2 linked regions of the Drosophila melanogaster genome follow. The protein of the gene in region 2 interacts with the protein of the main gene of each other region in a pairwise test. Each region holds a gene or a part of one and is shown on either strand. Other genes may lie near its edges.

What was found. Proteins that work in one complex are often made in the same cells at the same time.
Region 1: the proteins of CG10274 (region 2) and CG8173 interact in a two-hybrid assay, tested with the Drosophila melanogaster proteins (one large-scale study listed by BioGRID).

What each region holds. Positions count from the first base shown.
Region 1 is NC_004354.4:17,706,867-17,711,611, forward strand, and holds CG8173 (uncharacterized protein), read right to left. Parts: upstream 2,788-4,745; 5' UTR 2,576-2,787; coding exon 2,316-2,575; intron 1,782-2,315; coding exon 1,423-1,781; intron 1,347-1,422; coding exon 769-1,346; 3' UTR 535-768; downstream 1-534.
Region 2 is NT_037436.4:6,177,999-6,183,528, forward strand, and holds CG10274 (uncharacterized protein), read right to left. Parts: upstream 3,832-5,530; 5' UTR 3,770-3,831; coding exon 2,851-3,769; intron 2,797-2,850; coding exon 2,183-2,796; intron 2,118-2,182; coding exon 1,059-2,117; 3' UTR 679-1,058; downstream 1-678. Other genes in the region: CG7376 (uncharacterized protein), read left to right, coding at 1-209, 267-427, 484-646; D19B, read right to left, coding at 4,419-5,530.

The DNA of each region.
Region 1 (4,745 bases), on a different chromosome or scaffold from region 2:
CCATTTCACATATACCCTTGCATTATCGAGAAATCTGAACTTACATCGAACAAAAGTCGCCAGAATATCCCGATTTCCAAGCAAACGCATGTATATATATATATATACAAAAGCTAATGTGTATTCCCGCTAAGCAACTGAAAAGACCGAAAAGCAAATCACGAAAGAAAACCTTATATTTTGATGTATGTATTATTATTTTTTAATAAACCTAAGAGAACTTGTAACCGATCTGGTGTGTAATTGGTTTTTTCCTGGGAGGCTATAGCAAAACAATGTAAGTTTATTGTTTATATCACAACCAATTCGAGGCGTTAAAGTATACAAAAAAGTTAAAAATGATATTCGGTTCCTGCATTTATAAACGAAAAAATTGTTTCCCTCTGTAAGCAATACTTTTCAATTCAACTGAATTGCTTTCACTTATTTTTAGCTTACAAAAATCAATTTAAATACATTAGCCGGGCCTTAATCAAAAAAGATCTTACATATACCCTTTTGAAGACTGCGAATTAAAAAACCAGTTAACGATATAGTTTTTGTTCCATTTGGGGATTCGATTTATTCGACCACTCTTTTGCTTGCTGAATATGTACAATTTGCTTAAGTGTGCATTCGCGTTTTGGGGCTTTAACCGTAATTGGTTTGTTCTTACAGGGTAAAAATTATAGCTAATTAATTGTACATTCAAAACAAAAATGAGTCATCTAATCAAATTATATTCAAGAGGAAGATTGTGGAGTTCGGAGGCTGAGAATGATTATCAGTCTAATCGCTTTCTGTCGCAACATTTGCGCCATTGTTCTCCAGGCACTGCCAAATGGTCTTGGCCGCTGGACGATCCTCGCTGAGAGCATTTGTGCACAGATAAAACAGCTCCACGACGCAGTTGTAATCGTCGCTAAGTTGAAAGGCCACTGGCAATGGTGGTCGTGTACCATAGGCGGAATGAAGGTTATTCAGTGTAAAGTAAGAGATATCGTTCTCCTTCGTGTCATCATCTTCTTCATCGTCTTCCTCCTCCTCTTCCTTCTCCTCCTCATCATCCTCCTCGTCATAATCTTGACTCATATCGTTGTCTGTGTGTTCTTCCATTGCAGAAGGTAGTCCGTTCTTGTTTTCATCGCTGGAGAAGTCCAACTGTTTGCACTGCAGCTTGTCCGTGTCGGTGGGTAAATCGTGCGAACTGTCCATATCCTCTCCCAGTGCTGCATCAAGCTCCAAGGTATGTGGAGGCACCAAAGCAAGGGTTTCGTAGATAACCAGGCCAAAGCTGAATATGTCTGCCTTGCTGTCAATAACATCCACTTCGTCTATGACCTCCGGTGCGCACCAGAGGTTAGTTCCTAAAATATTAAGACATAAGTGGTTAATTTGACTGAATGTGAAATTATTTATATCATATGGGGTCAGTAAACTCACCCACATAGCGCAGTCCGGGATTCTTTAGGAAATTAACCTCGCCCTGCTCGTCCAGCGGAAGAGAGACTCCAAAATCGCACAGCTTACAAATCTCAAACTCGCCTTTGACCAGGACATTAAAGGACTTAAGGTCGCCGTGCATGAGGTGAGCTTCGTTGTGAAGAAAGTCTAGTGCCTGGGCCACGTCCATGATCATCTTATAGGTATGTTTGGCCGGCAACGGGCCCAGATCCTCGTCGTGTCGCTCCTCGAGTATGGAGCCCAGTGAAGTGGTGCACATTTCAAGTGCCAGTGTGTTGATGCCCTCGTCATTGGTGATAACGCCACGGAATCCCACGATGTTTGGATGCTTCAGTTTGCTGTAAAGTCAAAAGGTGCTGTTTATAGGGGGCAATTATTACAGCAATCCTGCGTAGTGTGTATAAAAAATGCACATTTTACGCAGTCACCTGTAGGTAACTCGATGCATTGGAAGCAAAAACTATGTACATCTAATAATAGCTTTATTTACTAGTATTGAGTTTCCCGGCTGAAGTGCGATGACTTAGGATCTTACTTGGAATATTTTGTTTGGTAATGCTATAATTTTTGTAATCTAATAAAGATTCTTTTGTTTAAAAGATGGGATATATGCAAAATAACATTTTAAGCTGGAATTTAAGGATGATCTATTCAATTCGAAGTGAGCCTAGATTACAATGGGGTATTTTAGCGAGCATGGACTGCAGCTGCTCAGCTGTGGGCCACCCTAATGAATTGCTGACCCACATATCGGATCACCCTAGCACACACGCACATTCAGCATCCGCACACGCACAAACACATGCACCCACACGCAGGACACCGACACATACTGCCAATTTGATTGGGCTTCTGGATTTGGATGAGCCTACCGCAGGATATCGGCCTCGTGAACAATTCGCTCGTTGAAGAGTGTATCCTTCTTGACCCGCATGTTCTGCGTGATCCGCTTGACGGCCCAGGGCGAGCGGATTTCGCCGAGACGAGGCGAGCGGTCCAAGCGGTAGACCCGGATCCCAGTGCCGTGGCCCAGGGTCTTCATCATCGGCGATGGCGGCACGTTGATGGGAGTGCTGCTGTTCTGGACATTCTCCAGGTGCAAATTTCTTAGCTTGCGGCGTGGCGTGTCCATCGCAGCAATAGTAAAATTCAATTAAACCAAAATTAAAGCGACGCGCACAAAACACCGTTTAAACTGTAAATGGAATGCAACAGTGTTGGTGTTGTGTTTGGTCCTAGGCGATAGAGTGACCGTGGCGTCTCTTTTGACTGGAATTAATCGCAAAATAGATGCTAAGCGCAATGTTCTTGTTACTGCCTTGTAGAGCACTCAAACTCTACTAAGTAATAGCTTATAAACTTCCGTCTGAAGTAACTGAAAAACAAAACACACGCCTGCTGTTCTAGGGCGCTGTGCGACTGGTCACACTGAATAGTGGACCGGCGTGCAGTACTAAATATTTAGTCGTTGGCATTCAAATTGCTCCTTATAAATTCCAATTAACTACGAATTATAAGAAATAGAATCCAGTTCCATAATGTTGGCAACGAAATTGGATGGAGTACCTAATACAAGGCCAACAAATATCCGTTTTTAATATATAAAAGTTAGCAACACTATTTTCCATGTTAATACCGGTCGTTTTGTACCGTTAAGCTTTAAATTAAATATATGACACTTAGCCAAGACGCGAACCCATACAGGTGCGTGTTACCCAGACAGCAACCGACACAGAAGTACCGCATTTCGTTGGTATTATTTTCACACCAACAATTGGCGCGAAAGCCGTGCCAAAGCAGAGATGCGATAAAGAAGAGGAGTGCAGAGAGGCGGCAGTCTGTGGAGAAACACCAGTGGAATCGCACACAAGCGCGGCGATTCGAAAGCGGACGTGTGTGAAAATCCAGACCGCGGGTTTTTTAAAATTTTTTGTTTTATTTTTTCGCGTGCGGTGTGGGAGGGTGTCACATCCAAAAAACACAAAGCGACAGCAACAACAACTCCGTTAATATTCTGGATCGGGCACACACGCACACAAACATAAAAAAACCGAAATATACACATGCTTGGCGGAGTTCGTGATTTAAAAATAATACAAAACACCAGAATTAAATATACGCGCACGCACACACACACGCGTATGTAAGGTGCAAAATAAAGTTTCTTTACTGGTTTCTGGTGTTAACAACAACAAAAAACATGAATAACTAAAGAAGAAACCGAAAATATAAACGAAAAGAGGAGCCGCAAAAATGCCACTCAGCTGTTACGGCGAAAAAACAGCGAAAAACGCCAAAAACATCGAAAATCAGGTGTAGCGAGAGAGGAAATATGGTGATTAAAACAAAGAGTGGAATTGGAAACGAAATCGTTAAAAATCAAATAATAACAATAACTACAACAAAGGCGGCGGCAACCTGCTCTTGAAATTGCCACAAATCTTGCTTTAATCTTTTGTTTTACAATAACCCCCAAAATCGCCATAAGGCACAAGTGCAATAAAAACCATAACAACAACAACAACAGCAAGAACAAACAAAATCAATATTCAAATTAAGCAGCAGCACCAACAACAACAACTCAACGAGCCGAGTCGATAAGCTAAACGATAAGTGCGAGAGCCAAAAAGGGGAGAAGAGCGCTCGACAGAGAGCGCGCGAGAGAAAAGCCGAGAGAGTGAGAACACAGCATCCACCCAAACCAAATCCACAAAATTACCACCCCCACAAAATGGGACGTCGAACGTATTTAAGCCGGTCCTCAACGATTTCCTACCCCAGCAGAATCGAAGGATGGCTGGATGTCTGCGGTGAGTGGGAGTTACATATGTACATACATATAACATCATAGACTTCATAGTGAATATCTCTCTAATTTATGTTTTATAAGTGAAATATAGGGTTGTAGTGTAACCTCATTCAATAATAATGAACTTAAATGAACTTAATGAAACTAAAGTTTAATGAACCATAAAGTTAGTTAGCGGGGATGCTGTAATCTGGTCCCTTTTATCGAACCTAATGGTTTTCAATGTACGATTATCTCTTTCTCTTAAACCTTAAAGATTAAGATATTGTCATACCCTTAAACTAAATGATTGGTTAATTCATCCAATTGATCCTATTGAAGCCCTGTCTAAATAAGGAATAGCTACATAAACATAGTTTTCTATAACTATCCCCTGGATTTTTAATTACAAACTCAAAACTAAGATTACTTTAAAAGTTAATAGTACCAGGAGATAAGGGAAACAATTGAAGACAAATAATGGTACCCAAAAGTGCCCACCGTCGGAAAACAA
Region 2 (5,530 bases):
GTGCCCACAAGTCAATTATTGGTGACTTTTCTACAAAAATTTCAAGTGTTGTGGAATTAGTGCTGAAAATTAAGGGTGAAAATGAACAGGAAAAGATTATTGTATTCTCTCAATGGCAGGCGATTCTCATTGAAATTGCCAGAGCGCTCAGTCTCAACGGCATTCAATTCCGCAATAAGTGCACAAATAAGGACTTTGATGATTTCAAGGTTTTTATCTTGCTGTTAAATTTAATTTATCACTGCTAAACATTTTTCCTCCTTTAGAATCCGTTGAGCAATGTTACCTGTCTACTAATGCCACTGTCCAAAGGCTCAAAGGGTTTGAACCTGATCGAAGCCACACATGTTTTCCTCGTCGAACCCATTCTAAATCCGGGAGACGAGCGCCAGGCCATAGGTCGTATTCACCGATTTGGGCAAAAGAGGTGAGTGCGCGCTATTGAAGTGAAGTTGCTGTCAGTTTCAATACAATTGTTTTTAGACCCACGAAGGTGCATCGTTTCATTGTGAATGAAACGATTGAGGAGAATATTCTATCGCTAATTACTTCAGCCGATGACACGACTACGCTGTCGACCCACTGGGATCTGGAGAACATGACACTAGACAGCCTTAAGAAGCTATTCATACTCAAGGAGGAGTAAAACTTATGAATTTAAAACAAAAAATTCCGATTAGATTTAAGCTCTTAATAGGGCAAATTTATTTTTTAAGCTACTTATAAACAATCTTTATATATAAATATATAACTGCCACAATCAATTCATCTATTGAAAAGATGATATTTGACATGCAACCTCTCCATTCAGACCAGAATCATTAAACTTAAGTCGAATTCACATAGGTATTCTGTGTTCTCCTGAATAATGTACAGTATTATTTGTACTACAGTTAAGGACATTATATTAAATAGTATTAAAGAATATTTTCAGCTTAAAACTATATCATATCCATCTTACACACACTGTTCTCATAAGGATTATAAGGTATTGCTTTTCATAAAAAAAACCCAGGATTGATTTACCATCTGTGACAGCGTTAAACGCTGGCCAAATCTCAGACATGATCGATTTTTAAAGCATCCAAAGTGGTGCCATCGGCATGTGCTTTTTGAGCGTAGTAGCCATCGTAGGAGCTTTGCGCCTTGTCAACCTCCTGCTGATGCTGCAACAGTTGCAGTTGCTCGTAGGCAGCCTCCTGAACCTTGCGGCGCTCCTCCTCCGCCAGTCGCTTTACTTCGTTCTCTTCAAACTGCTGCGCCTGGAGTTCAGCGGATGCCGCTGCTCGCTCCGCCGCTGCCTCCTGGTACTCATCGTAGGAGTGCAGGCTGCGGTCACTACTTTCAAGCTTGTGCAGCGACGATAGCTGCTCCTTGGCCGCCTCCGCAATTTCGCGCCGCTTCGCATCCGCCTGGCGCTTCGCCTCTCGCTTGCTGCGTTCCTGCTCTTCCAGCTCCTCGCGAGCGGCATAAAACTTGGGCGAAATGACGGGTGGACGGTTCTCGTGGGTGCGCTGGTGGCGCTTCAGCGCCGTCTCCTGGCGGAAATGGGTGCCGCAGGTCTTGCACTCAAAGGGTTTCTCGCCCGTATGAATCCACTCGTGATGCCTCAACGTTTGAGCCTTTGCGAATCTTTTGGGGCAAAAGCGGCAGGCAAAATCTTTGACCTTTTCGTGGATGATCTTATAGTGCCGCTTCATGTTTCCGATATTGTTGAATCCCTGACCACAACCGGGGCAGATATGTTTGCCCTCCTTCTTGGTAAAGTTCACCTGCGGCGACCACGACGGCACTGAAACAGAGGGTATGGGGTTCACAGCAGTGCCAGCCAACTGCGCCAGATCCACTCGTTGTACACGGCGTGGATCTTTGGGAATGGTGGCCACGGATTCGGCGCACACCTTAAGCAATTCGTCGGCAGCGTTTCGGGACATGATCGGCTCAATGGATATGCCCTCAACTGGTGGCGCGGGTGGATTGTCGAACTGTTCACCAGGCGTCTCGCCCATTTCCACCTGCCGCTGGCGGTAGGTCTCAATAGCACGAAGCACACGCTTCTCATGAGTCTTCAAGTGCTTGGTCAGACTCTTAGGATAGAGAAACTTCTTTCCACAAACCTAAGAATATTAAAAACAAAACGTTGCAATGACGACGCTGGCTTAAAATATCTTTCTACCCTTACCTTGCACTCACAGCGCTTTTCCCCCGTGTGCGTCATCTCGTGGATCTTGCAGGCGTGTGACTTGCCAAAGGTCTTTCCACAGTATTGACACGCATAGTTTTTGATCTTCTCGTGCACGATCTTAATGTGGTTGGCCAGGCTCTGCTTATTGTGCGATGCGTGCTCGCATATGTGGCACTTGAACTTCTTCTCCTGGGTATGCGTCAGTATGTGTGTGTTCCATTCCTGCCTGGTGGTTTTTCCCACGCCACAGTACGGACACACGTAGTTCTTAATGCCCGCATGCCGCATCAGATGATCCTTTAGAGCACTATTGATTACGAACCTTTTGCCACAGATGTTACAGGGGAAAGGCAACTCCTTGCCGTCGTGCTTGTACATGTGCTTCTTGAGCGCCATGGGACAGCGGAATACCTTCTCGCACTCGGTGCAAGGGTAATCCCGTGGGGGCGCCGCTGCCTTGGTGATGCCGTGCATCTTCTTCATGTGAAAGGTGAGCAGGCGTATGCGCGGAAAGGTCTTGCCGCAGCCATCGACATTGCAGGAGTGCACCTCGGATAGCTCCGTGTGGGCGTGGTCGATGTGAAGTCGTAATCCTCCAGCGGTGGTGAAACCTGTAAATGCCAGTGATCAAAACGAGAATGCGATTTGGAGCCATCATTACACACCTTTCCTGCAGGTTTCCACTTTGCACTGGAAGGGCAGCAGGTCGTTGTGGTGCTTCATGTGCTCTTCGTAGCGGATGGCCTTCTTGAACTTTTGGTGACAAATGTGGCAGTCAATGATGCGGTGCAGGTGCCGTTCGCCAGGCGGAATCCTCTTGCGTCGACTCTTTGACTTTTCTCCGTCCTCGTCCTCCTCTTCGGAGCCTGTTGGGAACTCTTGGTCCTCTTCCTTAATTACGGCTGCCTTTGCTTTTGGTATCATCCGCGAATTATCCCGTAAGCGCTGGGCCAAAGGCACATCATCGTCACCATCGCTACTGTTGGGCTCAAAGTCCACATCTTGGTCAATATCTTCTTCGCTCTCCTCCGAGGATTCCGCGGCAAAGATGGTCATCAGATCGGCGGCGTCCAATTCATCTTGCTTCACTTCCTTCTCCACCTGCTCGGCCTCCTTGTCCACGTGCTCCAACATCTTGAACACATCCTCCTCGTTCTCGATCATCTCCATTTTGTGATCCAGTAGCGGATCGAAGTTGATACGATCCTCCTCGTCCTGCCCCACCAGCTCAGGCTCGTTCCCCGCCACGTTGAGCAAATCAAAGTTTTTCATCTGCGCACTCGCTGGCGGGCAAAAGACGTTCCTGGCCACCATGTCCTGGAACTTTTGCACCGAGTCCACGCACAGCTTTTGGAACTCGTGCATATCGTCCAGCCGGCTGAAGCATTGCGCGCACAGACACTTGGGGAAGCCATCCGACTGCTCCACGGCCAGCGAAGTGCAGACACACAGTTTCTTGGCCAATCCGGGTATCAGGAACAGGTCAAAGGATCCTGCGCCGCCGCCATTCTCCGGCAGGCGATTCAGGCAGATGCGGCACACCGCGTGCACCGAGTACTGGGCTGCCTCGGCCTCCTCCTGCATGATGCCTGTTCCAGGGGGAATCTGCTGGCCAAATCCGCGGAATATTAAGCCGAGAAAAACTTTACGCGTCAGACGAACCAAAACAAATACCAAAAAATACCCCACAGTGATGCCAAGTACAAACAGTTATTTAATAGCTAAATTATTAAACCGGCTAGAAATATGGATAGCATCAATAACAAATTTCAAATGTTTTAAAAAATATGTGCCATTTTAAGTGTGATTCTTAATAAATGTATGTATTAACCTAAATTAAATACGTAGTTTTATATGTGTCTCATATAAGTTGCATAGCTAGTGGAATGTAGCTAAAAAACAGACGAGTTGGCAGCATTACAGCTCACCTCTGTCTTGTTTACCAACAATACCCGCTTACCAGCACTGGGGCGAATTTAAAATTCAAATGTTCAATACTTATTACTGTTTATTATATTAAATCATTGTTAAATGAATACAATTAGTAAAGTACAAACTTAAGCAGTTTAAAGGGGGGATTTAAATACAAAAAAGATCAAATTGCAAAGTGACGAAAACTAGTTGGTAATCCTTAGAGAACTATAACTCATATGTCCTTCATAGAAACACATAATGAAATGATCGGAAACGGAGGCCGGGTTTGCTCGCAAGCATTTCCGTTTGATTCTGCCGCTCAAACATGATCCAACTTCAGTGCGTCCACTGAGGTGCCCTCCGCCTCCGCCTTCTGCGCGTAGAAGCCGTCGTAAGTGTTCGACTGCTTCTGCAGCTTGTTTAGCTGCTCGAAGGCAGCCTCCTGGATCTTCCGGAGCTCCGCCTCCGCCTTGCGCTTGGCCTCGTTCTCCTCGATCTGGTAGGCCAGCAGCTCGGCGGTGGCCGCTGCCCTTTCCGCCGCCGGATCCTGGTATTGCTCGAAATTCTTCGGCTGCTGGCGCTTCACCGCGGTGCTGGACTCCGCCTTGGGTCCAGCCGGCTCCTTGGGCTTGCCAGGCGGACGGGGCGGCTTGTCGTGCACCTTCATATGCGTCTTGAGCACCTGCTCCTGCCGGAAATGCTTGCCGCACACCTTGCACTCGTAAGGCTTTTCGCCAGTGTGTATGTACTCGTGGTGCCGCAGGTACTGCTTCTTGGCGAATCTCTTCGGGCAGAAGCGGCAGCAGAAGTCTTTGACCTTTTGATGCACCACCTTGTAGTGCAGCTTCATGTTGCTCACGTGATTGAAGCCCTTGCCGCAGTCCGGGCAGATATGCTGGCCCTCCTTCTTGGTGAAGTTCACTTGCGGCGACCACGAGGGCAGGTTGACCGATGGAATTGGATTGGCCACCGTTCCCGCCAACTGAGCAATGTCCACCCGCTCGACGCGACCACGCAGGTGCGGACTGGGCTTGGCTATTGTCGAGGATCCACTGGCCCCGTCGCCCATTAAGGCATTGGTCCCCTGCGTCTTGGGCAAATCACGCTTCTCGTGCGTCTTCAAATGCTTGGTTAGGCCCTTCTCGAAGAGGAACACCTTGCCGCAGATCTTGCACTCGCAGCACTTTTCGCCGGTATGACTTCTCTCGTGAATCTTGCAGGCGTGCGACTTGCCAAAGGTCTTTCCGCAGTACTGGCAGGCAAAGTCCTTGCGCTTCTCGTGCACCACCTTCACGTGGTTGGCCAGCGCCTGTTTGTTGTGGGAGGCGTGGTCGCACTGCCGGCACTCGTACTTCTTCTCCTTCGTGTGGGTAAGGATGTGCTTGTTCCACTCCTGGCGCGTCGTCTTGCCCACTCCGCAGTACGGGCACA